Rhinolophus ferrumequinum: one gene and its partners. The protein of the gene in region 3 purifies or fractionates together with the protein of the main gene of each other region. This does not show direct contact. Links are inferred from orthologs where the notes say so. Each region holds a gene or a part of one and is shown on either strand. Other genes may lie near its edges. The genes, in order: DVL3, AMER1, AXIN1 and LRP5.

Evidence for each region.
Region 1: the proteins of AXIN1 (region 3) and DVL3 purify together in Homo sapiens (affinity purification with western blotting; 3 studies listed by BioGRID and IntAct, with this or other methods). This does not show direct contact. The link is inferred for Rhinolophus ferrumequinum from reciprocal best matches to the Homo sapiens genes AXIN1 and DVL3.
Region 2: the proteins of AXIN1 (region 3) and AMER1 purify together in Homo sapiens (affinity purification with mass spectrometry; 4 studies listed by BioGRID and IntAct, with this or other methods). This does not show direct contact. The link is inferred for Rhinolophus ferrumequinum from reciprocal best matches to the Homo sapiens genes AXIN1 and AMER1.
Region 4: the proteins of AXIN1 (region 3) and LRP5 purify together in Homo sapiens (affinity purification with western blotting; 3 studies listed by BioGRID). This does not show direct contact. The link is inferred for Rhinolophus ferrumequinum from reciprocal best matches to the Homo sapiens genes AXIN1 and LRP5.

The regions. Positions count from the first base shown.
Region 1 is NC_046285.1:60,962,901-60,969,927, forward strand, and holds the start of DVL3 (segment polarity protein dishevelled homolog DVL-3), read right to left. Parts: upstream 3,005-7,027; 5' UTR 2,796-3,004; coding exon 2,635-2,795; intron 1-2,634. UniProt on the Homo sapiens protein: Involved in the signal transduction pathway mediated by multiple Wnt genes.
Region 2 is NC_046284.1:78,553,881-78,561,085, reverse strand, and holds the start of AMER1 (APC membrane recruitment protein 1), read left to right. Parts: upstream 1-4,203; 5' UTR 4,204-4,627; intron 4,628-5,161; exon of another isoform or gene 5,162-5,494; intron 5,495-7,205. UniProt on the Homo sapiens protein: Regulator of the canonical Wnt signaling pathway.
Region 3 is NW_022680357.1:2,361,045-2,368,637, reverse strand, and holds the start of AXIN1 (axin-1), read left to right. Parts: upstream 1-4,591; 5' UTR 4,592-4,895; intron 4,896-7,593. UniProt on the Homo sapiens protein: Component of the beta-catenin destruction complex required for regulating CTNNB1 levels through phosphorylation and ubiquitination, and modulating Wnt-signaling.
Region 4 is NC_046294.1:4,389,067-4,397,057, reverse strand, and holds the start of LRP5 (low-density lipoprotein receptor-related protein 5), read left to right. Parts: upstream 1-4,974; 5' UTR 4,975-5,089; coding exon 5,090-5,165; intron 5,166-7,991. UniProt on the Homo sapiens protein: Acts as a coreceptor with members of the frizzled family of seven-transmembrane spanning receptors to transduce signal by Wnt proteins.

The DNA of each region.
Region 1 (7,027 bases), on a different chromosome or scaffold from region 3:
CACTCTAGCCGTGGGTACCTTGTTCTCCCATCCACCCTCTCCTCAGGGCTGAAAATGTTTATTCTTCCTCTATTTCCCAAATCATTTAAGAGGGTTGGGCCTACCCTGAGCTTGACAAATACTTCTGGAGACCAGATGGGACTTGGAGAACCTCGCAAACCAGGACCTCAGAGGATAAGCCTGGAGAGACAGCAGCCTTCCTTCTCAGACCCCCTTTCCCGTCTGTCAGCAGGGGCCACTGGCCTCCGCCTGACCCTCCTCTCAGGGGGCTAGGATAAGTGGCAGCCCTATCACCTCTACCGTGTGCCGAGGCTCAGCATCTGCCCCAGAGAGGATGCGTTTGTAAAATGGTGATAATAATAATACCTACAATTGTGTGATTAAAGCCTTAGACGTTGGAGCCAGATTCCTGATGTGGAATCAAGCTCTGCCACTAACTAGCCAGACTGTGTGACCTTAGGTAAGTTATTTCAGTTTTCTGTGCTCTAGTTTTCTCATCTATAAACTGGGGATATTACTACCTATTTCATAGGGCTATTTAAGAGGATTAAATGAGTAAAAATTTGGAAAGCATTTAGATCAGTGCTTGGTACACTGTAAGCACCATAAAAAGAGTTTGTTAAATACATATATATATATATTCCTCTATTATTAGTCTTCTGTGATAAGATAACCCTATTAGATCTCTTGCTCATTAATCCTTCTGGGGAGAAAAACAAAATCAATCTCCTCCACTTCATTTTTAGCATTGTTCTCAACCCTGTTAAAATGGCCTACTCTGATATTTTGCAAAGGATGGTTTCAGTACGTGATGTATGCAAGATGTGTTCAGGTGTTACCTGAATGAACATGTAATTCAATAGTAAATATTTATTTTTAACATATATTAGAAAGAAGTATAATTAGAAAATCAGACCTGTGATTTCATATTATTGATTTGGTCAAGCTAAGAAAGAGTGAGTGGGCTGACAGTAGATTTAAAGAACAATATTAAGTCAACGGTGAGCGGATGTAACGGGGGCCCTCCTATGACTGTAGTTAGGCCTGGCCTGACAGCAACCTGGCGGAGTGGGATCTGCCCGGTGCACTGGACTTCGCTAATTTGCCCCTATCTCATATCCTGAGGAAGTATCTTGGTCTCTTCTAACTCTATTCTTCTCTTACCAGGCCAAGGCATCTGCCCCCTCACTCCTACCCTTTGCGTATGGATCCCTCTTCGGAATCTTCTAATCAGCGGTGTCTGTCTCTGGACTGAAGCCAAACAATCATTAAACACCAGAAGTACCCCAGGGTAGGAATGACAACAGAAACAAGAATAGTTAGAAGCTGCACAGTACTTCCTACTGTAAAACCAATTTCACACATATGGGCTCATGGGCTCATCAAACCCTGAGTTGGGGGGTGGGAGGGAACAGTGACAGCAAAACATGCCAGGCAGAGGGGAGAGAAGGTGCTTGCTTCCTAATACCAGGAGGGCTGAGGTCCTGGGAGAGAAACCAGACTGATGAACACTGGGAAGAAGAACGTCTCCCCTCACTCAGCTCTGGGGCCTCAGCTGCAAAGAGCAGTGCAGGCCTCAGGCTATTGCTGGAGAGGCTGCCTTTAGGCCTGGAGGGCTGGGGCAGGCCTTCCCCACAGGCCTCCAGGCCCAGCGCCCAGTTAGTATGGGGGCCTCCTCCTCCCCCAGTACCCTGGGAGTTGGAGGGGGGTGTGAGGGGATAAGCCAGGCTCCCCCTCCCAGGCCAGCTGCTACAGAACCTTCCGGCTCCAACATTCCATCCCCTCTTAAAGGGGAAGTTGCTGCTTCCAAACTCCGCCTGTCCAAAGCCCTGCAGCTGAGTGAGGAGAAGACCCCGCCAGGGAGCGAAGATGAAGAACGCCAAGAGACTCTTCCGGCCCTCCCACCCAGGCTCTGAGGCCCTTTCCAAGGCCACCATCTGGAGGAAAAAGGCCCCAATTCTGAGGGGAAATCAACATCTGGGCTAGTGGGGACTCCTCATCAGGGGCTCCCTTGACAACATCCCACACAACCCCACGAGGGAAGGGGGGCAGCTAAATAAACATCAGGTCTGCAGGCCTTAGCTTACAGCCTAGCGCCTGAGCACCCCCGCTCCCCCTCCCCCCAGTTCAAAGTCCCACAGCACAGCCCTGAGATGCACGGTACTCCAAATATGGCTCGGAGCTGTGGAGCTGAAAAGATGGAGAAAGCGAAGGCCGAGTGCCAAACTCCTCAAGTCTGTGCTAAAAACGTGGCTCCCTGGGCAGGAGAAGGATGGGGGACTCGAGCTCTAGAACTGGGTGGAGGGGTGGGGGTGTGTCTGTCTATGTGGACCGCTGGTCTCTGAGAGGTGAGGGGACTTCCTGGGCTGGAACTCTAATTTATCTTGGGGAGTTGAACGTCCTCCTAAACTAGGGAGGCCAAGGTACCTCACAAGAGAGAAAGGAGAGTCCCTAGAGAGGCTGGAACTCCAGCATCTGAAAAAATCAAGAGGAGCCCAAATGGCCAAGTCACCTCCTAGAATCCTGAGTAGGGCTCGAAGCCAGTGTCGCAAGGGAAGTCCAAACTGGCCGAGTGGCCCCTAGAAGCCGAAGGGGACGGGCTCCCCGGGAGGCGAGGCGGGGGGCCATCCTCACCCGAAATCGTCGTCCATAGACTTGAAGAAGAACTTATAGCTGGGTCTCTGCAGAACGCCCTTAAAGTCCGCCAAGGTGACGCGCTCGGCGGGCAGGGGCAGCTTCACCAGGTACGGCGTCTCCTGCCCGTCCAGGTGGTAGATGATCTTGGTCTCGCCCATGGCTCCGGCCTCTGGCCCGGCGGCCCGCGCACGGCCTGCTCGGGCGGCCGGGCCGGGCCTCTCGGGCGGCGGCGGCGGCTCTCGGCGCGGCCCAGTGGCTCAGCCCAGCTCCGCGGCCGGCCACGGCGCCAGCTCCCTTGTTCTCCGGCCGCTCCCGGGTCCCAGCGCCGCCTGCCCCTGCCGCCGCCGCCGCTTCCGCTCCCCACTCTCCCGGCTCCGCTGGCGACGGCGACTCTTCCGGTGGCCGCGGCCCTCCCGGCTCTGGGCTGTCGCCCGGCCCGCTCCCCTCCCCGGGCCCCGGCGCGACCCCGCCCCGGCGCGGCCCCGCCCCCGGCCCCCGCCGAGCCGCGCTGGCCTCGCGGCAGATGGCCTGGCTCTCGGCCGGGCCCCCAGGACACCCCGCCCACCCGCCGGGCGGCGAGCTCTGACTCCTGCGCTCCGGTCCCTGGCCGGCGAGAGCGTGGCAGCGGTCGCCCAGGGCCCCAGAGATGGAAGGATTGATCTCACCAGGATGATTGCGTTCCTGGACTCTTCAAAGCCCAGGCTTTGGACCCAAGGGGATCGGTTGCTCCTCGCAGCTGGGAAGGGGTGTAATGCAGGGGTCTCTTTGGTCCCCAGAGGTAGGTGGATGGGGCTTCTGACCAAGTACCACTGGGGAAAGTGATCTTGACATGGACCTTTAGGGTCTGTTAATAAGCATAAGTAGCCATCATTGAGTCTACCAAATTGAGCTCCTTGAGGACACTATAGGATCGAGTGCTGATTCCTTCTTATAACCTCAGTACCTAGATGCAACGCAGTGGTGGTTTAATAAATGGATTGAACGCAGAACGAGTGCAAGAATGAAGATGGGTGCATTACTGGGACAGTAAGTCTCAAACCAGAAGTAGGTATAATCATTTCTAACAGATCCCCTTACCCCTTAGCTTTAAATTTGTTTAATAAATATTGAGTGCCTACTATGTACAAGGCATACTGCATGAGCTACAGCAAATAGAAGACAGGTAATGCTGCCCCGGACCTTTACTTATTTGGAAAGAGGCTTGTAAATAAATAACTTCAGAGTGACAAGTGCTATGAAAAAGATAAAATAGAGTGATGTGATAGTAACAGGGGAAAGAGAATTATGTGTGGTCAGAGAAGGCCTCTTCCATTTGAGCTAAGTCCTAGAACAAATGAGAAAGCAGCTATAAGGTCTGGCCTGGGGGAAGAGCATTCCAGGCTGAGGGCACAGACAAGTCTAAAGGCTCAAGGCAGAAATAAACTTGCCAGATTTGAGGAACCAGAGGAAGGCCGCTGTGACTCCAGGGATAGTGTTAGATCAGTCTGGGAAGGTAGACTGGGACCATCTCACATAGGTCCACACATCAACAAGTGTGGGCTCCTCCCACTCCATTTTGTACAGTTGCCAAATAAGCATTTCAACAGTAAGTACCTCTTCAGCTCAGAAACCTCTTCACATTCCCTAATGCTTTCCAAATATCCTGATCATGATATCCAAAGCCCTCCATAATCTAACCTCTACCTACCTTTGCGGCCTTTTATTTCATTATGTCCTATCTAAAATTTTGACTTCAGCAAATCAAACTATTTGCTAGCCCCTGCACACATGTATATTTTTATTTCATACCCTTTACTTTAAATTCTTACCAAAGCAGTATGTGTGCATAGTCAAATAGTATTAGGAAAGTTTTTAACAGCTGTCCTCTGTCCCATTTCCCTCCCCACCCCAGTATACTTTTTTAGTTTATACTATCTCTTGAATTATGCATTCTAGACATCGCTTATTGATTTCCAATCTTGACTGATGGATTTCTTTTTCTTCCACCTCCCCCTAACCTCTTAAAATAGTAAAATCCCACTTTTTTAAAGTCAATATAGTACTTAGTATTGACATTTTGACTATGAATAAATGCTTCCTTTACAACTTGTTTCTCGTCATTAACCATTGCCTTGCCTTTTCATTTGCTTTGCTTTTTATGTAATATAGTGTATCTATCTATTCTTTCCACATAATCTAATAGTTTCTCAATACATATTTTGTTAGCTCAGTCAAATACAGGCATATGTCAGAGATACTGCGGGTTTGATTCCAGACCACCATAAAGCAAATATCACAATAGTCACACAAATTTTTGGGTTTCCCAGTGCATAAAAAAGATATGTTTATACTATACTGTAGTCTGTTAAGTGTGCAATAGCATTATGTCTTAAAAAAACACTGTAGATACCTTAATCAAAACATACTTTATTGCTAAAAAGTGCTAACCATTATCTAATCCTGTTGAAAAAAATGGCACCAATAGACTTGCTTGATGCAGGGTTGCCACAAACCTTCAATTTGTAAAAAAAAAAAAAAACCAAACCCAGAATGATCTTGAAATGCAATAAAGTGAAGTTCAATAAAATGAGGTATGTCTGTATATTAGATAATCTATCCATTTTCTTCCCTGGAGCCTTCAATTCTGTTGCTCTAATCTGCACTGTTGACTATCTTTGCTTGTGCACAGCAGCCACTTCTCTGTATCATACTTAAAATTTCCTTTACTTCTGCATGTTGGTTCCTCATTTCCTAGATACTTTACTCCTTTGCTTTAGGAAAGCACATTCTCGGTAGCTTCCCTTGAAAGCATGGGAAATAAAATTTTTGAGAACTTGCAAATCTGAAAATGATTGAGTTAAAAGTAATTTATCTTCAGAATTTTGAAGGTTCAGAATTTATCTTCAGAATTTTGAAGGCACCACTGTCTTCTAGCTTCCAGTGTTGCTATGAAGTGATCAGTTTCGTCTCTTTATTATCCTAAGCCTTTGAACACGATTTGTTTTGAATTCCCTGGAAGTCTTTAGGAAGTTCTCTTTATCCTTGGGTTCTGAAACTCCATGGTGACATGCCTTGGTGCTTATTCACTGTGCTAGGCACTCTTTCCATCTAGAAATTCAACCATATCTTCTTGAATTACTTAATAACATGACTACCATTTCCCCCATTGCTTCTGCAACTGTTAGATGTTGGACCTTCAGGATTGATCCTTAATTTTATTTTCTCCTTTATCATCCATTCCTATTTTAAAATGATTTCACCTTTTTGCAAGATCTCCTTAATATTATTTCCAACCTTCCCCCTATCCAATTGGATAGGTAAAATATTCATAATTGAAAATTCAAGAAGTGTGTAAGGATGGAGAGTCTCCTTCCTGTTTGGTTCTCTGGTTCTCCAGTTCTCAGCAGAAGGAAACAATTCATTTATTTTTAATTTCTAAGAACTTTTTTTGTTCTCCAATTCTTCCTTTTTATAACACTTTCTTCATAGACACAGTATTTTTCCTCTTTGAATTTTGAAAATAGCTTCCCCCCAGGCCGCACCAAGTTTTCAAAAAAGCTCCGTCTTGTCAGTTTCCTTGGTGTCAATTTTTTGGTCTCTGCCTTCCACACTGGAAGTTTCCTCAAATATTTGATGGCCCTTGGCCGTCCATTCACATTTAAGAGATACCAGAAAGCTGACTGGGAGCTGTTCATGTACAAGGCTTATTATCTAACAGGTTTACTGTAGGGTGATCAAGTGGGGGAAAGATCGCTTTTTTCGAGGAAACAAAAAATGTATTTGTAGGCTTTTTCTGTAGTTGTTGTTTGCTTTTGCCTGGGGATATAAATCAATGTGTGCTGATATTTAGAGCCCTACCACTCATATACTTCCACTTAATCCTTCATTTTCAACCTAGCTCCTCACCCCCATCCCCACCATGTCTGTTGTTAAGTCTAGAAGCTCTAATAATTTACATTTCCCCTGAGGTTCTGGAATATCATGAGGTTCTGAATATCATTCATTATGCTGGGCACTCATGGGCTCTGTCAGTCTGGAAACTCATGATCTTTGGGTTTAGGAAACCTTTGTATTTCTTTGATAATTTCCTCCCCACCGTTTCTCCAAAGGCTAAATCTCCCATTTCTTGCGGAGGAGAAGTAGGGGTAGTCACCCTGCTGGATTATATAAGGTGGGGGTTGGGGGGGCTTTTTCTTATAGAGGTCTTTGTCTGAATCCCCTCCACTCGATGCCTGTTCTTAGACCGTCTTTACCCTCTTCTGCTGAGCCTTTTCTGGGTTCAGAAAGTCATGTTGGTTTGCTTGTTAATAGCCATCCCAGTAGGTAGAATCCATTTCCTTCTGCTCTGCTAAGTCAACTCTTCCATTTTTCATTTTCCAGAATGTTGATATCTCTCATTCATTGTCATCAC
Region 2 (7,205 bases), on a different chromosome or scaffold from region 3:
ATACATTCAGAATTCAACTGCTTCTTACCACCTCCACTGTCTCCACCCTGATCTGTGCCACCATAATCTCTCACCTGGATCACTATAGAAGTCTCCTTCTAGGTCTCACTGCTTCCTCCCTTGCTGCTACAGCTAGCTCCCCATGCTATTCCTCAGCTCAAAATCCAACAAAGTCTAAAGTCTTTAAAATGACTCACAAAGCCATACACCATCTGCCTCCCATGTCTTCTCTGACTCCCTCTCCTACCACTTTCCCCCACACTCATTCTGCTCCAGCTGCACTGGCTGCTAGGTTGTTCCTCTAACATTGCAGCATGTTCTCACCTTTGTACTTGCTGTTCCTTCTGCTTGGAATGCTCTTTCTCCAGATAGTCTCATGATTTACTCCCTTAGTTCCCGTGGATCTTTGCTTCAATGTCACCTTTTGGTAATGGCTACCCCAATTGCCCTGCTTAAAATAGCACACTCTCACCAATACCGTGTTTCCCTGAAAATAAGACCTGGCTGGACAATCAGCTCTAATGCATCTTTTGGAGCAAAAATTAACATAAGACCCGGACTTATTTTAATATAATATAGGACCGGGTGTAATGTAATATAATATAATATAATATAATATAATATAATATAATATAATATAATATAATACTGGTCTTATATTAATTTTTGCTCCAAAAGACACATTAGAGCTGATGGTATGGCTAGGTCTTATTTTCCTGGAAACACAGTACTCCCTGTACCCCTTCCCTGTTCTATTTTTCTCTATGCCATTTATTGCCATTTGACATAGTATATATTTTACTTATGTATTTTATTCATTGTCTGTCAGCTCTCATGAAGTTTTCATTATCATGATGGGAAATAGACGATTAAGATGGCAATAAAATAAATAAATAAATAACAATAAAAATAATAAGCCAGGAGGTGAAAAATGTTATCGGTAAGAAAAAAGGCCAATTAAGGAATTGTAGAGTAAAGGGGATAGGAACAGAAATTGCTATTTTATATTTCAAGTGTCCAGGGAATGTCTCACTAAAATAAGGTGACATTTGAGTAGACATCTGAAGGAAATGAGGCAGAAACTATCTCAGTATCAGAGGACAAACATTGTAGGCAAAAAGAACAACAGTGCAAAGGCCCAGAGGTGGGATTTCAAAGTCAAACTCAGAATGTTCTAAACAGAATCATTACATTTTCCTAATCCTGTTCCTATATTCCTTAGTTCAGTGGATTGCCACACTCTCCAGTGCCTTGCCCCGGTTGGAAACTGCAGGGCATTTGTCTCATAGGTTGTATGCCTCCTTTACCACACTGGCTGCTCTGAGGCCAAAAGCTCTCTATTTCACCATTATGTGTGCGACACCAAACACAGGGCCTGGCACAGAGTTGGTACTAGAGATAGAAAGTGGCAACATCACACCTTGGATGCTGGCAACTAAGCTTGATATTAGACCTGAAGATGCCTCGTTTGACTATGTTCAACAAACATATACTTAGCACTAAGTTTGTGCTAAACTCTCTGTTGAGTGCTAAGGATACAAAGATGAACAAAGAGACCTGCTTTCCTGGGAAACTCAGTCTGGCTCTACACAATCAAAAAAAAAAAAAAATCTATGTATATGGAATCACAAGCTCATGTGTGTTTATATCAAAAAGTGATTTCAAAGTCGTATCATAACTTTGAACATCTGTTCATTGGATCATATGAAGACCAACAACAATAACAGCAGCAGCAGCTAACATTTATTGAGAACGTTGTGTGTATTAGGCTCTGTGCTAAGCACTCACATAGAATACTCATTTAATTCTCACCACAACGCTGAGACATGGATACTATTATTATTCCTATTTCTCAGAAGAGAAAACTGTTACTCAGAGAGGTAAAATAACCTGCCCAGGTCACACGACTCCTAAGTGGTGGGGCCAGCATCCCAGCCTAGGCAGTCTGGTAGCAGAGCCACTACAGTATACCCCTTGCTTGCTTGGGAAGGACAAACTTAGCTAGCTGAGCCTCACTTTAACCGAACAGTTATGGTCTGTCATACTTTGGTCCTAGTCCTATCTTTCTAGCCTAATTTCCATTTCTTCCTCTCCACCTATACAAATACTCAGCCATAGGGGTCCAGAATCCTAGCTCTTGCCCAACCTGCCACACCCTCTCACACTGATTGGGTTTGGATTGAGCAGGAATCCTTCCCCTACTTCTCTGACTTGAGTAATCAGCAAGGCCATCCTCCAGGGAACTTTTCTCTGATGCCCCTCCCAACCCTGGGGAGAAGGAATCTCTTCATCCACAATGCTCCAGATCACCTTTACCAGCTCCTCTCACAATTCCATCATCAGAGACCTCTTCTCCCATAACATTACCACTGTACCCCCCTCTTCCCAATGCCTATTTGGAGGCCATGCCCATGGAACATTTGGTGAAGAAAGAAATGAGCATTGTACTCATGTGGACCAGTCTGTCTACGTGAGTTTGTGGAGTTACTTCCACACAGCCTGCACATCTGTTCTCATGGGCTTTTCACTACAGCCACAAGATACTGGGCAGCAGAGAGATTATCTTTTTAGGTGAAGAAATTTAAGAAAATATTCTTGCCCCCACCACCCGCCCATATAGTAACTGAACAAGTTAACCATGTGTCAGTCATCACATGGAATGGGGGCCTGGAGGGTTCTCTCTTCAAGAAGGCAGTTTTGAGGTACAAGTTTGTGCCCACAATTGGTCTTTCCCTACATTGTTTCTGGGGAGGAGTGGGCCATATAAACAAGAAGCTGTGCCACCCCTCCCATGCCCTTCCCCTTTAATGTGCACATATACAATCTCCTCCTGAGACTTGTAAATATCAGGACCAAGAAGAAAGCCACCCAGCTGGGAGACCTCTTTAGCATGTGAAAGACTACTTTCATTTTCCTGAAACCCTAATGCTTTTGGGCCCAAACCAATGTCCAATATCTGTCAGTCCCAAAGCTGACTGGTATGGCAGAATGTTTGGCAGCTGGGCAGAGGACATGGAAGACTAGATCCTGTGCCAGGAGCAGCACAACAGTGCCCCCTCACCTGAGGTTTATTTCAAGCCTACCACTTGACTACTTTGCACAATTCCTCTCTCCCCTTCCCACAGCTGAGGCTGCCCTGGACCTGTGTTTCCCTGCGCTCCAGATTTGGAAACTGTGTTCTCCAAATTGTAATCTTTGGCCTACTTCAAAGAGTCGAGGTTCTGGGTGAAATGTGAACAGGTGGCAGGCAACCAGAGGCATGAGGCAGTGGGGAAGCCTATGAAGGAGGCATTAAAAAAAAGACACCTTCAAATCAGGTCCAACAGTTGAGAATCAGGACTTTGTAAAACAGGAAAGCACAGCTCCAGGGAAATAGAATAGTCCAGCCATCCAGGTGGGGAAACTGAGGCTAGAGAAGAGAAGGTATTTGCTCAACAAAGTTGCACAATGAGCCAGCCAGTGGCAGCTCCCTCCTTCCTGCCATTTATTTAGACCTGGGACTAGGATAGGAGGTCTCATGTTCAAATTGCTGGGTTTTGTTGGAGATATATAGAATGTCATGGAAGATAATAGAACATCTCAAAATATTATAGAAAGAATTGAGTTGAACCGTCAGAGCTGGAAGAAATCAAGGAGCTTGACTAGTCTTACCCCCTCCTTGTGGAGATGGGGTGATAGTCTGGCCCAGAGAGGAAAAGGGATTGGCCAAGGTCATACTTCATGTCTGAGGCAGAACCGAAGCCAGATCCCAGCCCTAGCAGCCATGTCAGTTCCTGTGCTCCACACATGCAGAGACAGCAGTCCTTCTCTTACCAGTTTAGCAGCTGGATCTTTTCAAGGCAGACAGTACCCAGTACAGCAGCAGAGAACACTCCTTCTACAGTGCAAAATTGGCAGACATTGTTCTTTAATCCCACCCCCACCCGTGCTTCCGCCCCCCCCCCACCCTTGTCCCTCCCTCCCCCGTTTTTAAACATTCACAGAGTTTTAGGGCTGGGCCTTCTGGATGTTCTTGAGCTAGTGGTAGAACTGGATTCTTTGTTGCCTCAGCTCACCTGACCCTGGCAGCCACTAATGCCACTTAATGCCCTCGGGCTAGTTAGAGACCCAAGTTCAGGCTGGCTCCCCTGCCACAACCCAGACACAGCAGCTGGCAGGGTTGTTACAGGCCTCCTCTGTCCACCCGCAGCCTTTACCTCCAGTCGGGGCTCATACAAGCTTTTTCTCTCAATAGCTAGACTTTTCAGGGACAGGGAACTGCAAAAAGCCTGGCTCACCATTAAAAGGTGTGTGTGTGTGTGGGGGGTGTCTCTGCAGACCTTGAGAATCCCCTCGAGTTCTGTGAAAGGTGGGGAATTTGGGTGAGGGTCAAACTATAGAAACAGGTCTCTCAAGAGAAGAAAAGTGAAAGCAGCCCTGGACAGGGAGCCCCGGGTTTGAATTCCAAATCTGCCTACGTCGCTGGTGGCGGGCTGGATGACCTTGGGGATGCGCCTCCCTTTCTCTGGGCAGCAGTAGGCCCTTTGGTAATGGGTGGAAGTTGGCCGAGATCGTCCCTAAGGGCCCTGTTGTGCCGAAGAGGCGGACGAAACTGAGGCGCTGGCGCTGCAATCGGTTTTCCTGGCAGGTGAGTCCCTTCTCTGAGCGGCCTGGTGGCACGCGCTGCGAGGCCTTCTCTACCCCTAAGGTTGGGCTGGGCTCGGTTCCAAGGGGCTCTGCAGTCTCCTAGGCTCCCCAACATCTCCGCCCCGCCTCTCCCCGCCTGTCTCTCACTCTGGAATAAACTGCCTGGTGGAGGCCACGGCACTGCAGCGCGATTACACCGCGACCACGGAAATGCGAGCGCATGCAAAACCGAAACCGAGCTCCAGGACTCCAGCGAGCCCTATCTGGGCGGGACCGGCCCCGCGAGCTCACGGTGTCTCCCTGCAGTGACCCACCGGCTTGGGGGCTGGAGTGGGGAGTCCCTGCGAGGGGTTCTGCACCCTCCCCACCCCCTGCCAACACCACGCTCGGGCTTATTTGCATTTAAAGGGAACGCACAGAGGAAAGCAGTGGGCGGGGCGGGGCACGCCTTCCCACTTTGGCGATTGGGCCACACGCCTGCCAATCGGACCGCGGACACCCCACCCTGTGGCTGTGGAGTTCGTGGGGAGGGGGTATGGGGGAGCTGCCCAGAGCCTGGGGAAGGGGAGCCAGTGCAGTAGGTGACTGGAGCCGCGGCGGCGGTGGCAGGAGCAGCGGTGGCGGCGCTCTCAGCCGCGGCAGCCAAAGCTCCAGCATCCGCCAGGGCTGCGGGACAGACAATAACCGGGCTGGAGACCGGACCCGGTCGGGTAAGCGTTGGGGGCAGCCAGGAGGCTCCGCCTGCCCGCCGTCCGGTGCAGTCCCGCGTGCTCCGCTCTGGCCGCCTGCAGAGGGCCTCTAGGGCTGGGCCAGTCGGCGTCCGGGCCGCTCTCCGCTCCCCTTTGGAACCCGCTTTGAGGACTGTCCGGTGAGGGCCAGAGCAGAGTCCCTTGGGCGCGGGCCACCGAGGCTATGGGGTGGGAGAAGAGGGCGGGCAGGCGGGCAGGCGGGCGGGCTAGCCTGGGCCATGCCTCCGGGTTCTTGGGGAGGCGGGGATGGGGCCCACACGTGCTGCCGCGCGGTCCCAGGAGGGGAGCAGCCAGGCAGCACCCCCAGCGGTACATTTGTAGGCAGGGATCTCTGCAGCTTTGTTGTAGCACATTAGCTGGAACAGCTGTGTTAAGCGGGTGTTGCTCACCCTAGCGTCCCGGCGGCCGCCCCTCCCCTCCCCTGCAGATCTCCTGTCTCTCTCCTCTGCAGAGGAAGCCTGCGCGCTGGCCTAGGTTCGACGGACACTGACTTTGGCGTGGATTGGGGTATCTATAGTGTCTGCCTCCTCCTTGAGGGAGCTCAGTGGGGCCTGTGGGCTGCCCACTTCCCTTCAGAACCTCGGCCATGTGTCCCCAACCAGCCGCGCCCCCTGCTCCTGGGCCTCCAGGCACATCTGGCGCCTGCCCCCGCGGACAGGCGGACTGGCAAGGGGACTTTCCCTGGACCTTGGATTAGAGCTGCGGCTCAAGCTAATCTTTGGGTTAGAGCTGCAAGGCCGCTTTGTCTCCCCCCTCTCCTCCCCTCCTCTCCGTCTCAGAGGGCACTGGCCGCATTTTTCTCGCCAGCCTCCCGTTTAAAAATAGCGATAAGCACGGTGTTGGGAGGGGTTTCTGTGCAAGAAGCCGAGCGAACAATTATTGTAGTAGGGAAAGCACTGTCTGAGTGTGTGTGAGAGAGCTAGAGAAGCAGCCAAACCCTCTAACTTCTCTGTTACTTAAAATATCCAGCCCGCCGAGCCGCTGTCATTGTCTGCTGCAGACACCTCTGACACTAGTGACCGCCCGCCTTTGCCTAGGCTCCCCAGCCTAGAGAGGCTGTGCCCACCAGGCACGCCACAGACCAGGCGCCCAGGCAGCAGCTGGAGTGGCCCTGCAGAGCCGGTCTCCTTTTGGCCAGGCTCTTCTTGGCGTGGGCCGCGGGGTCAAGGCGAGCCTTGTCCTGCACACAAACACCTCCCTCTGCGGCTCTGCCCCCCTGCTGCATCCGCGTGGGTATGGGCAGGGTGGAGGGCACTGCCCTGTTGGAATACCCGCCCCATCGATGGGGATTCCAGCAGAGCCCTCACCCCCAGTGCGTCTCCCCTCATTCGGCCTCGCCCACCACTCAGTCACTGCAAAGCGGTGTGCCTCTGGCAGTGGACTCTAGGCCTTTCTGAGGAACAGGAGAGAGGGAGCTTGGCAGGCCCTTTTCGACCTTTGATCAACCTCTGAGGGTGGAGAACCCATTGAGAGGAGACAATGAGACCCAGTAAATCCCTCACTTGGAAGAAAGACTAGCTGGGGACCTTTGTGACACCAGCAAGTACTGCAGATACCATACTACACTCACCTCCTTTCATCACGACCAATACCAACATAAACCACCTACTTGCAGCCTGGCGTCTCCAGCCCAGGGCTGGACCTGCCCTCTGCCCTGCCTTAAACTGACAAACAACCACCTAACATATCTGTCCTATATAACTTTCCTCCCTACATCCAAACCCACTCATACTACACTGTCCAAATTCTCTTTCCTCTCTGGCCCCAGCTCTGGGCCCACCTTCTCAGTGCCTTTCCTGCCTGTCTGTTGCAACGTATGATGACCTCTCC
Region 3 (7,593 bases):
CTCATGGGGGCCAGCAGGGGTGTAGGGGGCTGTGTCAGGTCTCCTGGTGCAGGGGACATAGGATGAGCAGGGACCATTAGGACAGGGCAACAATAGCAGCAGGGTTAGAAGGGGACATATCATGCAAGCAGCAGTGGACACAGCTGACACTGGAACCAGCTTGTTTGAGGCAAAGCCCCTGTTCCTGTACCCCTAACTCCCTATCTTGGTGTGGGGGCCAGCATCACTCCTGGGGAGTCTGCCTCGGGCATTTTCAGCGGAAGGGCTGGTGAGAAAACTCCACACAGCAAGAGGGATGCAAAGTGCCAGCGTGGACAACACACCTGCCCACCGGTGTGAAGGGAGCGAGGAGCTAAACACAGGAGAAAAGAGGCTCGGGGACCCCAGCCCGGAGTCAGCCCAGGAAGCTCAAGGCAGCACCTTCTCGCTGGTCCTGGGACCTGACTTGGGGCAACTGCAGCAGTCACAGGATGATCTGCCACCCTGCCCACTACTGCCCAATGGGTCATCTCTGTCCCTTCCTACAGGGTCCTCACCCCTGCTGGTCTTGCTCTGACCACTGATTGCAAGGTGGTGCCTGCTGCAGAACTTTGTGGTTTCCATGTGATCGTAATAGTGATTTCACACAGAACTTCTTCCTGAGTGTATATGGAAGAGAATGGACTCCATTCCTAATTCTGCTCTCCAGCCATAACCTGGTATCAATGCCCTGGGATAGTTCTTGAGTCCTCTTGCCTTTCTTTGCACACGTTCTATAGTCATAAAAATGGGTACCCTCTGTGTGTGGGCTCTTAGCTTCTCTCCTTGGTGTTACATCTTGACACCTTGGTGCAATGGCTCCATGTCCTCTGTTGGGCCCAGACAACACCTGGTCCTCCCTGCTGAGCTCAAAACTGATGGAAAAGCACACACCCAGGGAGGAGAGATGGAGCCCGGGGCTGGGCTGGTGGTCAGGAAGGTGGCTGGCCAGTGTGGCTGGGGCTTCTCCTCCAAAGGGAAGTCCATTCCTCTCCCCTCAGAACTGGAAGAGCCAAGGCTCTCTACCTGCCTGCTCATCCCCACCCCCTCACCTGGGGACTGGGCAAAGCGGGCAGGAAATGGAGTGCCTGGAGGGGGCTCATTCTGAGTCTCCCGTCTTCCTCTGGAAGCCTGAATCAATACGCTTCCTCCTGTCCTTTCGTCCCAGGAGGAGGATGGGGACCTTCACAGTGTCCCATCTCTGCAGCTAGTCCTCTGCTGCCAGTTTTCACCCTCCTGCATCGGTCCATGCCCCAAATGCCTCAACATACCTTCTTGGTGCATCTGGGTGATGACTTTGGAACCCTTTTTAGAAGCTGTCTTCCTCAGCCAAGTGCACGAACACCTGTAAGGCTTCAAAGCTCACTTTATTTCACAGTATTCCCTGTCTGTCTAAATCGCAGAAAATAATGTCATTTCTACTCCTAAGTGTTTCGTGTAGTTCCTGGAAAGCCTGAAAAAATGTCATCTTCAGTTAATCAAATCAAAGCCTCTAGTGGCAAACTTCTGCTCCCAGGGAAGGGGGGTTCATTTTAGCGGACCTCTGGAAGGCAAAGGGGGTGCTCCGCCATGGAGTTCAGCTGTTCAGAAGTGAGGCTCCTGCAGTTGTGTCTCCTCTCAGCTCTGGGTGGCTGATGCAGTCCCCCTGCCAGGTCATCACTGCTCCATTGCAGGTCCCAGGGCTGCCCTCCCTACCTCCCTCGTTCAGAGTTTTCCCAGAGCTTCCTCCCCTGATCTGCCCCCATGCCCACCCAGCTCAGACAATCTCCTGTCCGTGCCCACAGCCATAACCCACCATAGAGGGCTGTTGAATTTCCTCCAGGCTTTCTGACTCCCTTCCTGTTCCTGCAGGGCGGGGGCCCCGAGGAGCCGGAGGCCCGAGGACCCTGTTCTGGTACCAGGGCCTGGGGACACCTGCCACCATGGGCCAGGAGGAGGATAGACATGGACACAACCCCAGGAGCCTGGCCTGGCCGCAGCAACAGCTCTGCAGAACCAAGGCAAGCGTTGGGGGCCCCTTTCTGGGAGAGGGGTGGCAGCCTGAAGGCCAATGTCCAGGCCACCCAGGACTCCCAAACCCCACAGAGACTCTGCTGTGCCATGAAGGCCACCCACTCTGTCTCCTCTAAGCCTCTGAAGCTAAACAGGGGAGGGGAAGGGCTGCAGGGGCATCTCCTGTGCCCAGCACTCTGGGGCCTGGGGCCATCCGCCATCCTGGCTGGACTGAGATGAGTGTGACACCTGCCTCCAGGACCCTAGTGGGGCCAGTGTGGGTTCAGAAGTGCAATTTCTGTGGTGTGCTGTCTTCACCTACAGCCCCAACCCCTGCCTAGCCTGACCCTAGGTATGGTGACCCTAGGAGGTGGCCTGGGCCCTTGGCAGGCTGAGATGCTTCTAGTGGCCCTTATCTCTCACTGTTCCCCTTTCCTACAAAATCCTGGGCACTGGGTGCTATGCTGAGCCCTGGGAGAGGCTGGTACCACTGGTGGGCTCCTGGGTGGGACGTTGGCTGGTGGGTCAAAGAAAGCCCAAGCTGGGACTTCTAGCCCTGCCTGGGAGCCATGTAGGATGAGGGTGGGCAGCAAGGGTGAGCAGTGTACGGGAGATGTGACATTAGAGGTGACCTGGGGGGCTTCCAGGGGCAGCATGGTGGACACATGAAGTGGGCAACTGACCAGACACACCCAGAGGAGGGTGGCATGGTGGAGACACCAGCAGAGAAGGGCCCTGAAAGACTGTGGATACCAGAGAGCAGGCTGCTGGGGAAGGTGTGGATGGATGAGGTGTTGGGGAGCCCTGGGATAGGAGGCGGTGGAGCAGGTTTCTATGGGCCTCAGTGGTAGCTTCCTTGTCTGTAGAATGGGGGCATGGCTGTCCCTTAGGGGCTGCCAGAAGCATTTCTCCAGGTGCCAGGCCCAGCAATGCTGTGCAGAGGATAGAGTCCTGGGTGGTTGTGACTGGTGGCAGAAGCAATTCTTTAGGGACATTAATCAATTCCTGGTATTGACAATCCTTCCCTTGGGGAGGGGTTGGTGGTGGGCTTGCAACAGAGTTGGCCAGCTATGCTTGCAGGTCAGGCAAGGGCTGCCTCGTGACAGTGAGGGGGATAAAAGGTGGTAGGTGCAGGGATCGGGTCACCTAAAAGCTCTTGCTCTCAGGACGGTGTGGGCATGTGGGACTCACAGTCATTGGTGGGAAAGGGAGCCCTTGTCCAGACCCTGGATGGTGCCTGGGAGAAATGGAGGCAGGTGGGCCCAGCCTGGGTAGGGCCTCAGCCAGTCGCAGCCCACAGCTCTTTAGAGGTTGGGGCTCCTGCCATATTTGTTGGATGCCTCCTGCCTACTGTGTGCCCTGGCCCTGTCTGAGTCCAGACTGCCTGGGCACTCAGGGAGGGTGTAGCCCCAGACCACCTTTTCAGGGTCCTGGCCAGCTGGGGAGCAGTGGGCAGGGAGAAGGGGGAGACAGGCTAAATATCACCAGGGGCTCAGTTCCTGGTCAGCCTACCTCTGCCTTCCAAAGTGCCCAACTCCTGGACGTCTGCTTCTTTCAGTGTCCTGGGAAGTTGGTGGCCATCCTGCTGCGGGTCTTCCTGTCCAGGGCCAGCCAGCCCCTAGATCTGCAGTCCCTCTGGGCACCTTGCCCACCCGGGCGCGGGCCGGGCCTGTGGGTGCCGACCTCGGAAGCCCTAAGCTGGTGGACACCAGCGTGGGCAGCAGAAAAGGGCGGCAACAGGGCATGCACCCAGCGGTGTCCACCACATTGGGGGACGGTCGTCCACTTGGCGCACTGGTCCAAGCCTCCTTGGTGACTACAGTTCTTCAGGGACCCTCGCGGGGGCGTCTCCCCGACGCCACTACCCTGGACTCCACAGTCCAGAGGGACATGCGCAGTTTCCCAACGCCCCCTCCCGAGTCCCCTCAAGACAGCGTCCTTGCTCCACTCCCCGCTCACGGCCCCGTCATATTAGCATATATAACCCCGCCCACTCCCATTCCGGCTCCGCCTCACGTTCCAGGTCGGCCTGGACGCTTTTGGCCCCGCCTCAAAACTCAGGGCCCACCCCTACGCCCAGGCCCCGCCTCCACGTCCTAGGCTCCGCTCCCACGTTGGAGGCTCCACCCCCATGCTCTTAGCCCTTCCAGGCGCTTCGGGTCCCTCTTGCATTCTCGGCCCGGGTCCCACACTCTCGGCCCCGCCCCGCGCCCTCGGCCCCTCCCCCACGCTCTCGACCTCGACCATGTGCTCTAGCCCCGCCTCCACGTCCCAGGCCTCAAACCCACGTTCGAGGTCCTACCCGATGCTCTTCGCCTTATCGGTGCGCTCCGGCTCCGTCTTGCGCTCTCGGCCCGGCTCCCGCTCTCGGCCCGGCTCCCACCCTCGGCCCCGCCCTCACGATTTCGGCCTCTCCCCCACGTTCTCGGCCAACCCCAAGTCCCGGTCCCGCCCCACGCTGTCGGCCCTTCCCTCGCTCGGGGCTCCGCCCCACGTCCTGGCCCCGCCCCAAGCCCCGGCCCCGCCCCCGCACTTCCGGGCGGCGCCGGCGGGGGCGCTCCGGCCTGGGCTTCGGCGCTCTGGGCTCCGGCTCCCCGCTCGGGGAAGCGATCGCGGCCGCCGCCGCAGGACCGGCCGGAGTTGGGCCGGAGCCGCGTCCCCGCGGAGCAGGCCGGTGAGAGCGGGCGGCCGGCCTCGGCGGCGCCCTCGCGGCCTGCCTGCGCCCGCCTCCGGGCCGCCGCGCCGCCGCCGCGATGGGGGCCGCCCCGGGCCGCGCCCCCGCCCCGTCCTGCCCGTCGCCCCGCCGCTGAGCGCATGGGCCGTGCCGCGCCGCGCCGCTCCGGGAGTCGGGCCCGGGGCCCTGCCACCGCTGCCGCCGCGCGCGGGTGAGTAGTGCGGGCAGAGCGCGCATTCCTGAGGGGCGCGGGCCAGTCCGTCCGCCCATTGTAGGCCGCGTAGGCCGGACCGGGCGGGCTGGGCGCGGGACCCGGAAGAGGGGCTCGGCGGGTGCGGGCTGGGAGCGTGTGAAGGGAGGCTGTGCGGACCGAGGGCGGGTGAGGGGAGGCCGTGCGGGCCCCGAGTGTGTGAGGGGAGGCGTGCAGGAGTGCATGGAGGCTGTGCAGACCGCGGTGATAGGCGAGGAAGATGCGTGGGGACCGAGGCTGTGAGAGCAGGTGTGTCAGACGGGGGTGCTAGCAGGGGATGTGGAAGGCGAGGGCCAGTGACATTGGGATGAAGAGTGCCGGGTTTGGTTCAGAAAGGGCAGACTCTTGCTCTAGGTGAAGACCTAGGATTCTGAGAAGCGGTTGGGGGGGTCCTCCTCGAGGGGTCTGGGGTGTGCAGCTGGTTGGTGTGTTGGATGGCATGGTGCTGCGTGCGTGCGGTGGTTTGTGAGCCTTGGGCATGTTTCAGGGTGTGGGTGGGGTGCAAAGGAGCTGCTGGGGCCAGACATTGTGTGCAGGGGTTCTAGAGAGAGGCTGGGTAGTGGCGCGTCCTGTTCTGCTATTCCCAGCAAAAAGTAGGACTGAAGGAGCCTGAAACCCAAGGAAGGTGCCTGAGACTGGGCCCCGGCTGTCTGGCTTCTCTGAATGGCTGTCATCTTCCAGGGTGATGCTTTGTCCCCCAAACTATCTCTTGGGTATGGGTCTTCAATTCTACGTTCACACCACCTTTTGGAATTCAGCCCCCCACGAAACCAGAGCTGTATGACCAGGACAGTGAAACTTTTAGCATAGAGGACAGTGGAGAGAAAAATAATTCTCTGGGGATTTTTCTCAGCTCACCTCTCAGATAATTCATAAAAAGTTCTTACTGTGCAGCTCGGCCCCTCTTTTTTGCTCACACGTATGTTCTCTGCTTCTTTAGGGCGAATCTCAGGCAGACTGGGACCCACAGGCCCTGTTTTGGAGAACACACAGTCTAAACCTGACCTCTCAAGATAGTCAGCAGCGTCAGGGTTTCGCTTTTAAGAACTTCTGTTCGGGAACAAAGATGAGAAAGCATATAAAATACAGTAGTGTTTCCTGTTTGCTTTTCAGCAGGTGTTGGTGTTTCTTGGATTCCTAGTTTCAGAAAAGCTAAGTGGATTTTGGGGATTTACATGGGTCATTAAGAATTTAAGTCACGGGGGAATGGTTTATATGCAAAACTGTAGCCCTTAGCCCTTCAAGAGTTTAATTGCTGACGCTTCCACACTCCACATAAATCAAAAGTTATATTTGAGTCAAATAAATATATACACATCTATAGCATTGAGCTGGCTGCCGTGGTACCCAGGGGTTATGTCTTGGCAGTGACTAAAGGAGACTTTAAATGTGGTATCAGTTGTATGGATTCCTTTTATGGAACCCTTTTATTGATGGTGGTTACACGCTATTGGCCAGATTCAGTGCTTGTGGGCATTTGACTCTGACCTGAATTAATGTAACTGCTTTATGTGTGATTTGTGTGTGTGTGTACACTAAATGTTTGATGTACTTCTCTGTGGAAACCCGGAGCTTGCGGGAATCGGAGCACATTTCAATAACGTCAGTGATCTGGGAAGTTTGTTCATGTGCTTCCAGAGACACCAAAGGTCTTCTGTCAGTGGACAGCCAAAAACAGATATGATTTATAAGGAATGTTTTTTCTGAGCAATGAAAAATCATTTAAAATGATTAGAGGGACTGGTTCACACGTGAATTAAAATGTAAGTCTTAAGACAGCCGCAGTTTGGTCATAAAGGGCTAGATCTTGAATTGACTGCTCTTTGTATGGCACAGTAGTTCAGCATCTGTAGCAAGTGTCATTTTCCTTTATGTCAAGGAATTAAATATTTATTAGTGCCCGTTAGTCGCCAGACCTTGTGCCAGGTGCTGTGGGTCCTGCAGAAAATGTTTAAATCAGGCTGCCACAAATAATTGACAAAGACGTCATAAAGCACCTTAAGAGAAAGTGACAGTGATTCATAATGAGCCTGTCGTTCTAACACAGTGACTTGGTTCTTTCTCAAGGCTGATTAACTGCAGAGTATCTCTAAGGATCCGGCTCCGGGGGCCGGGTACAGGCCCTCTGGTATCCGGGACAAGAGGACATGAGACATTCACAAGCTGGGGTGGGGCTGAGACATCACAGGTACTCATTCCATGTTGATGGTGCTCCAAGAAAGTGACTTTGCAGTCGGAGTGGTCCATGAGCAGCAGGGCGCCACAGCCCACCATCCTTGACCTTAAGAAACAGGCTGTTCCTGCTGAGGCTGAGATTACAGCCTACCCAGTAGTTTTCATAAGAAGTCATTAGCCGCAGAAATGTCACTGGGTGCACGTAATTGTGACCCAGCCTCCATCTCTGGAAGCTTCTCACTTCTAGCCATCAGGAGCTGCTGGCAGGTGAAGTTGGACGCCGAGTGAGAATGCAGATGTGGCGGGGGATTCCTCATAGGCCAGGCCCCAGAGTGTGGCGTGGTGGCCAGGGAGAGCCCCCCTTTGTGTTAGTACTTTATTTTGCTTCCTCCGGCTTGTTCAGTGCTCCAGGCACTTTGGACCTGACATGCTTGTCTCCGGCCCACTTCTGGGCACACCACTTCCCTCGTGGCAGGCTGTGTTG
Region 4 (7,991 bases), on a different chromosome or scaffold from region 3:
CCAAGGTCCTGTGCTGGGTCTCCTCTGTCACCGTCCTCCAACAGGAACTCGGAGGAGTCCAAAAAGTCCCACGTGGCACCACCTTCCTGGTGTTAGGAAGGCGTATTTGTCCCGCCAGGAGGTTAAAACACTCCTTATCTCACAGTCTGTGGCCAGTTTATAACTTTATTTTTTAGTGACCATCCATAATTTGATCACCTAGATTCAAAATTTGTTAAGGTTTTGCCATATTTGCCAAAAATATGTTGAAAGTGCATTGCAGACAATATGACGGTTCACCATTAAATAGTTTAGCTCTCCTAAGAGCACTCCGCTACATAATTAGAATAGTTTCTTCATATCTAAAAAATACAATTCTTAATATCATCAGAGTTATTTTTGAAGCATTTTTTAAAAAAAGATCAGTCAGGACATCTCTTTTGTCTCTTTTTATGTAGGAAAAGGCATTGTACTGAAGAGTGATTTTTTATTTTATTTTAATTTTTTTGTTGGGGAATATTGTTGAGGAACAGTGTGTGTCTCCAGGGCCCATCAGCTCCAAGTCGTTGTCCTTCAATCTCGTCATGGAGGGCGCATCTCAGCTCCAAGTCCACTTGCCATTTTCAGTCTTAGTTGCAGGGAGCACAGCCCACCATCCCATGCCATCCCACACGGAATTGAACCCGCAACCTTGTCGAGAGCTTGCACTCTAACCAACTGAGCCATCTGACCCCTCCAGAAGCTCAGCGGCAGCTGGTTGTCTTCAATCTAGTGGTGGAGGGCGCAGCTCACTGGCCCATGTGGGAATCGAACCGGCAACCTCGGCATTAGACACTGGCCAGCCCTCTCTCTGCCTTTCTGTATTAAGGCCCATTGTCATTGGATTTAGGGCCCACCCTGATAATCCAGGATGACCTCGTTTTAGGATCCTTACCTAAATTATACCTGCACAGACCCTCTGTCCAAACACATTAACAGTCACAGGTTCCCAGGATTAGGGTGCGGACATATCTGTTTGGGGGCTACTATTCAGCCCACTATAGGTGTCTTTAAAGAGCTAAAAAAGGGATATCAAACCTGAATATCAACTTCTTAATCTGTATTGAAAATAACCCTGCTGGGTGCACCAGACAGTCACGTGGCATTAATGCTCCCCCAGGATCGAGTCACATGACGAGCCACAGATCAGGAGGAGGGAAGCTCAGGGCTACAGAAACTAAGGGCTGGATGCCAACTATCGGAGAGAGAAGAGCAAGTGTGCGGGGTTGCCTAACCCACACTTGCTCTTGTGCCCTATCGTGGGCCCACACTAATCACAAGTCACGTGAATGCAGGGCTTCAAAGTATAAAGAACATTTTTATGAATCTTCTCTTGGATGAAGTTCACATCAGCACTAAGAGATAAACAGTTGAGCAGATATTCCCATTTTATGAATGAGGAAACTGAGGCTCAGAGGGGAAGTTTAGCCCGTGTCCCTCACACCCCAGCTGTCTCCACAGGAGCCGTGGCTCCACTGCCAATTAAGCCTTGCACTGCCCACCACCATGCGCTGGTGGCTGCCTCCCCTTGCCTGCTCCTGGAGCAGGTTGCTCGGAGGTGGTGCTGTTGCAGGGGGAGGCCCTCTGGGATCTGAGGGATGGGCTGGTCAGTGGACATTCCCTCTGCCCTCCTCCACCGAGCTGCCCTCAGGAAGATGCTCGTGGTTCAGAGAGCCGGGAATGCTGGGAGCCTAAGGCACACCTCTGTCCACAGCCGCCAGGCCTGCCGGGAGGGAGGGCTCTCGTGCCCAGAATAACTCTCCAGAGTCAGCATGTTCCCGCATGGGAGGGAAACCAAAAAGGCACTTTCCCCAAATGTCACGGGGCTGAGGTGGCATCTTTCGATGGGCCCTGAATGGACCCCAATTGAGCCCTTGTCCCCAGAAACTATTAGATCTGACAGGTGCTGAGCCCCTGTTACTTCCCTGGGATGAAACCTGCATCTGAGGAATAAATTGAGAGTGAACATTTCCAAACGCGAGACCTAAGGAAACTTTCGTGGCGTGATGAGCTGTGACAGGCAGCCTTCTGGGAAGCCTAACACGTTCTCCAGCTGCTTCTTACATTAGTGAAGAATGTAAAGATTACTGCCCTTGTGATGTAGGAATTCTGCAGAATAGTACCTCATTCTCATTTGTTCTTTACAAATGACTTTTCTCAAAGTTTGGATGGAGTCATTGCTGTGATGCCTGAAGACCTGGGGCACAGTACCTTTCCTGTGGGGGGGTCTCTACAATTGACACCCCAAGAGTTGGCACAGGAAACCCCAGGGCACCCCAGGAGCTGCTGCCAGCCTCCGCCATCCCCTGACTTAAATGCCCTCTTCTCTATTTATTGAAGTCTCCCATTCTGACAATCAAGCTTGCCACCTTCCTCCTCCAGAACAAAGAATCCCAATGTTTGTTTGTTTGTATTCTTGGATCATTTTACTTTCAATCATCTGCATAACTGAGCGTAAGGTCTTCAGCTCCTCAGTATCCCTTCTCAGATTTAGAAACTTGACTTGAACTTTAGACCTAGCGTAGTTCCTATGGCGAGCCACCTCGGGCCCCCTTCCCCTCTTCTCCACAGCCAGTGGCCTTAGTGAGCCCCATTTGCTTTTCCTAAAGCATCCCAAATCCAGGTCCTTCTCACCATTCCTGAGCTCCCCACCCCTTGCCAGTCCAAGCTGCCATCTCTCCTGGCGGCTACTATGGTACCCAGTCCCCTCATTCCCTCTTCCCTCCTGACAATCTTGTTCCCACTTGGCAGCCAGAGTGCTCCTTTTATAAATGTAAATCAGATGTTTTCACTTCATTCATTCAACAAACGTTTTGTAAGCACCTACTATGTGCCAGGCCCTGGTCTAGGTTCAGGGGATACACAGGGAACAAAACAAAGGACAGTCTCTGTTCTCATCGAGCTTCCATTCTTGGACGGAAGAAAGGTAAGTTTAAACACTTAGTCTGTCAGATGTCGCTCAGTGCAAAGGAGAAAAGTAAAGCGAAGAAATGCAGCAGGAAGAGGCAGCATGGGTGCGTGTTCCAGGGGGTGTGGTTTACAATTTTCAAAGGCGGGTCAGGGAAGGCCTGGCTGAGCAACCGAAGATGTGGGGAAATAAACTATGTGGCTAACTGGGGTAAAACAGTTCCAGCAGAGAGATCAGCAAGTGCAAAGGCCCTGAGGCAAGAGTGTGCTCGGTGTGTCTGAGGACCAGTGAGGAGGCCATTGTGTCTGGAGCAGGGTGAGGGAGAGGAAGGAGGGTGCAGAGGAGGTTGGAGAGATAATGGGAAGGGTGTGGCCAGATCAGGCCCAGTAGTTGCCATAAAGCCTTTGGCTGACATGGGAGCCAGAGAAGATTCTTGAGCAAAGAAGGGATGTGATCTGACTTGTTTAAACAGGCTCATTCTGGCTGTGAGATTAGGCTGAAGGGGGTCAAGGCAGAAGCAGAAGACCCATGGAGGTGAGAGGGGACCCCAACAAGGGTAGTGATAGCACAGGTATGAGAAGAGCCGGGAGTCTGCATCTGTTTTGAAAGTAGAGCCAACAGGATGTGCTTCTAGGGTTGGGCACAGGGTGTGAGAGAGCAATCAGCAAGGGTTTTGCTACTCAACACCCACGATGGCTCCCCACTGCTCTTGGGGTCCAGGTCTGATCTGCACTGGCTCCAGCTAGCTCCTCCTACTGCTTTGTCAGGCGTCTCTACCTCCCTACCTCAGACTTCCCCCAGACATTGCAGTACAATAATCTTCATTTTTCATGGCATTCCTCAGTCTGTTAATGGTATTTTGGTTTTTTTTTTTAATTTTAAATTTATCTGTCTTCTTGTTTTTGCTTGCCTCCCTAGAATATCAGCCCCACTCAGGACAGAGAGGTTCTGCCCGACCACTAGGTTTGTAAGGTTGTCACAAGTACGTGAAGAATATTCGCATCTGTGAGTATCAGTTTTTGGTGATTTACCGCTAGTTCTCTCGCACCTGCAAGGTAGGCACTGCTTCCCTATTTTATAAGGGAGGAAAGTGTGCCGGGAAGGTTATATTTAGACCTGCCCAAGGGCACACCTGATTCTAGGAAGCTGCAGAGCCAGAGTTGGGGCCCGTGGTTTCCAGAGCCGGGGCTGTGCTCCCTCTAAGTCCCTCCTGTGCCCTGAGGGTCCAGGCAAAGCTGGACGCTCAGGTGGCCCAGAGCTGGGAAGATGAGGAGCTCAGGGCCTGCTTGGCGGAGTCAGAGATGAGGTCTGCCATCCTAGAGGGGCTTTCTCGCTCAGTCCGCTTAGAAGGATGTTGAGAAGACCAGCGTGTCTTCGCTCAGAGTCTGTACCACAATGAATGTAGAGGGCGTCCGTTTAGTTTAAAAATAAAACCTTAGGCCCACCCCAATCCCAGCCCGTGTAGCTACTGCCTCACTCTCTCATCCGCTTACAAGTCTGTTCGCGCCCTGCGCCGATTCGCCGTCGTCCTCTGCCCTCCTGGGTGACCTCACCAGTGCGAACAGGTGTCGCCTGGCCGCCCGACCCGGTCCTGCCGTGGGGGCTGCGGTCGCGGGGAAGTGCACAGACCTGGCTCGGGGCCCCTGGCTTTCAGCCCCCAATCTGCTTCACTGTGTGTCCGGGGGCAATGTCCCCTCCCCGAAAAAAAACCCAACAACCCTGTGCCTCAGTTTCCCCCTCGGTAAAAACCAGGTACTTGCGGCCCTACAGGTGACACACCTGCTTCCGGGCCCCGGGCCCTGCGGGGTGAAAGCCCCGAGCCCGACCCTGCGCCGGGAGGAGCCCGGGCGGCCTTCCCCGCGGGAGGCGGGGGGCGCAGGGAGGGCCGTGGGGAGAGCGCGCAATGACCGCCTCGCCGCCGGCCGGCTCCGGGGGGCGCCCGCGGGAGGGCGCGGCCGGCGCGGGGGGCGCGGGCGGGCGGCAGCGGCGGGGGGCGGAGACGCGGCGCGGCTTCCGCTCCCGCGCCTCCTCCCTCCTCCCCCGTCGTCCTGGTCCGCGGCGCCCGAGGGGGAGGCGGCAGGCGCCGGAGCCGCGCGAGGAGCCGCCGCGCCGCGCCATGGAGCCCGAGTGAGCGCGGCGCGGGCCCGGCCGGCCCCGGATAACATGGAGGCGGCGCCGCCCCGGCCGGCGCCGCCGCTGCTGCTGCTCGCACTCTGCTGCAGCCTGGCCCCCGCCGCGGGTAGGTGGGCGCGGGCCGCAGGGACAATGGCCCGGACGCCCTGGCGGCCCGCGGCCAAGTGCGCGGCGCGCGGTAGCCACTTTACAAGTTGGGGGCGAGTTGGGGCGCGCGCCGCGGATCCCCGCTGCTCCCCGCCGTCCCCGCTGCCCGGGGGCCGCGCGCGGTCCCTTTGTCTCGCCCGCCAGGGCCCCTCCCGCGGACGCCGGGCCCGTCCGGAGCGTCCCGGGGCGGCGAGGAGGGTGCGCAGGCGGCGCCGACCCCGCCAGGTGCGGCGCGGCGCGGGCGGGTCCTCACCTGCCCGGGCCCCGGGGCGCGCTCGGAAGTGCGCCCGCGTGAAGCCAGCGGGCGAGGCCGTGCTGGGACCCTGGGCAGGCACCGAGCGGGGACTTTCGGCCCGGAGACAGGCCTGGCCGCCCTGCGTTGGGAACTCTTTGGCGAGCCTGTTTCCGATGGCCGCGCAGCCGGCCTGCGAGCTCCGAGAACTGATTTAAGTTGCAGAAAAAGTTCTGAGACAGGGCGCGGGGCGGCCTGGCCTGTTGCGCTGGCCTTTCATCTGCGTCGCAGTAGGTTTCCAAACGGACTGACACCTGCCAGGTGCCTGGACGATACGTCTGGCCGCTGGGGCCCCAAACAGTGACGCCCGGCCCGTGTCCACCCCAGGGGCCGACTGTGTGGGGCCACCGCGGGGGTGACCTGGTCCCAGAGCGTGGCGTGGTGGGGCAGCGTGCTGGTGCCTCAGTTGGGCACAGCCTTGGGGAGATGGAGGGCTGGGGACCTTTCTCTCCAACTTTTGGTGTGTCCCAAGGGGTGGAGTTGAGGTCGGGAGGGCTCAGGAAACCTAAGCGCCTGCGAAACGCTACACATGTTCTTTTAATTTGGAGATTGCCATGTGGTTTTTGAAGCAAGTCTCTCGCTACCTAAATCATTATCTTCTGACGTGAGTGTTGTTTTTCTGCAGTGTGGCTGGCCAAGTAGACACGGCCAGCAAGTCCTGTGCTCTTGGGGCTGCTGTTCTGCTGGTGGCCGTTTTTTGGGGGGGGCAGGGGGCCTCGGGTGCCTTTGTCTGAGCCTCTTCAAGACAAACAAGACAAACAGCTGTCTCTCTGGATATTTCCAGTGTGGACATTGCAGCGAGGTGTACTGGCCTGGCTCTGTGGTCACATTCCCAGGGCTGTGGCCCCTCCACTGAGGTTTGGGGGGGGGGGGTGTTGCAGAGAGGCCATGGTTTCCTCAAGTCCCCCTGCCTCCTAGCCCAAGCCTAGAGACTGTCAGTGGTTTCCCCCCAAATTTGTCTCTCTCAGGAACGTGTTTACGTTTCTCGGCCATGTCTGATACTAGCAAAACAAGGTGACGACAAAACAATGACAGTATCTGGGTAGTTCAGGCCAACGCTGCTCCTTTTCTTTCCGGAAATGCCTGGAACATGGAGGCAAAAGGGTTTTTTTTGGGAAGATGTTTGTTTTAAAGGTGGGGTTTCTTAGCCGGCTCTGTTGATCTGCACTTCCTTGCAGTTTGGGATTTCCTGTACCTTTCGGGGTGATGGTTCCTGGAGGCGAATGCCTGTCGTTGTGTGGTTCGAGCCCCTAAGAAGATGAATCGTGTGTGGCGTTCAGTTGTGTGTGAGGCAGAAATAGAGCTGATTATTTTAACATTAGGAAGCATGTCAGCACGAGGGTTTTAGTGCACCAGCTGATGGGGTGACCCAGGCCTAAAATGGATGGACAAGTCCTGGGGCTGTTCTTGATATGGTATGTCCCTGATTTCTGTGTTCGATTTATGCATCCGTCCGGAGTGCAGCCAGTAAGTTGGTAGCTCATTATTTTTCCTGATTGCTTCCTGTTGCAATTTGAAGCTGTGAGCCCACGGAAGTGCCTTTGTTCCTGGTCCCGGTACTGGGAATGGCCCAGGCCGCTCCCCTCTGTCCCCACAGCACTTGCTCCAGGCCCAGCCTGTCCAGGACTGGCCCACTGGGAGGGCCCAGCGGGTGGCTGTTGAGTAAACTAAATGCCGTGTGGAGTCCACTGAGAGAGCCCCCCCCCAAAGGACTCTGTGCTTTTCAAAGCAGGGCCCACATGCCTGTAACCTCCCGTTCGGATCCAAGAATTTCCCCAGTCAACCCAAACGATCCAGCATTTGCTGTGGAGATCCCGTCGTATTTGGAACCCGTCTAATTTCAGCAGCACTGTGTCACCGCTCAGGCATTTGCCAGAATTTGCACACTGGTTGGGCGGGGGTGTGTGTGGGGGTGCAGTCAGGTGAGGACGAAGCATGGCTGCCTGCCTATGGCAGGGGCTCGTCAGGGCTGAAGTGGGGGGGGGGGGCTTGGGGTCAGACCAACCTGGTTTACATACATGCTCAGCAGCTGGTTGACTTTGGACGACTTACTTAGCTTCTCTGCATCCAGTATCCTCACCTGGTTCCCCCCCAAGCCCAGGCAGTTGGGAGCATTAAATGCTGTGTGAGAAACCCTTGGCACCATCCCAGTCCCGGGTGAGGGACTGGTGGTGGCAGAGCTGCAGTTTCTGTTGTGTAACGGGGTCCTTGATCTTTCTGGTCTGGAAGGTCTAGAAGCTGTTATTACACAGTCTGGATTGTACTTCTCTGTGTGACCTTGGTTATCTCGTTTACTATCTGACTCATTTCTTGCTGTGACACAGAGACCGGTGCTGAACTGTGTGGACAGAGCCCAGGTGGCTGGGGGTCTAATCTGCGCCTTGCTGCCTACTCTGGGAGGGGAGCTTGGGCAGCTGACTCTCCCTTTGTGTGCCTCAGTTTTCTCTTCTGTAAAATGGGGCTAATAATATAATACTTCCTACCATGAGTTTA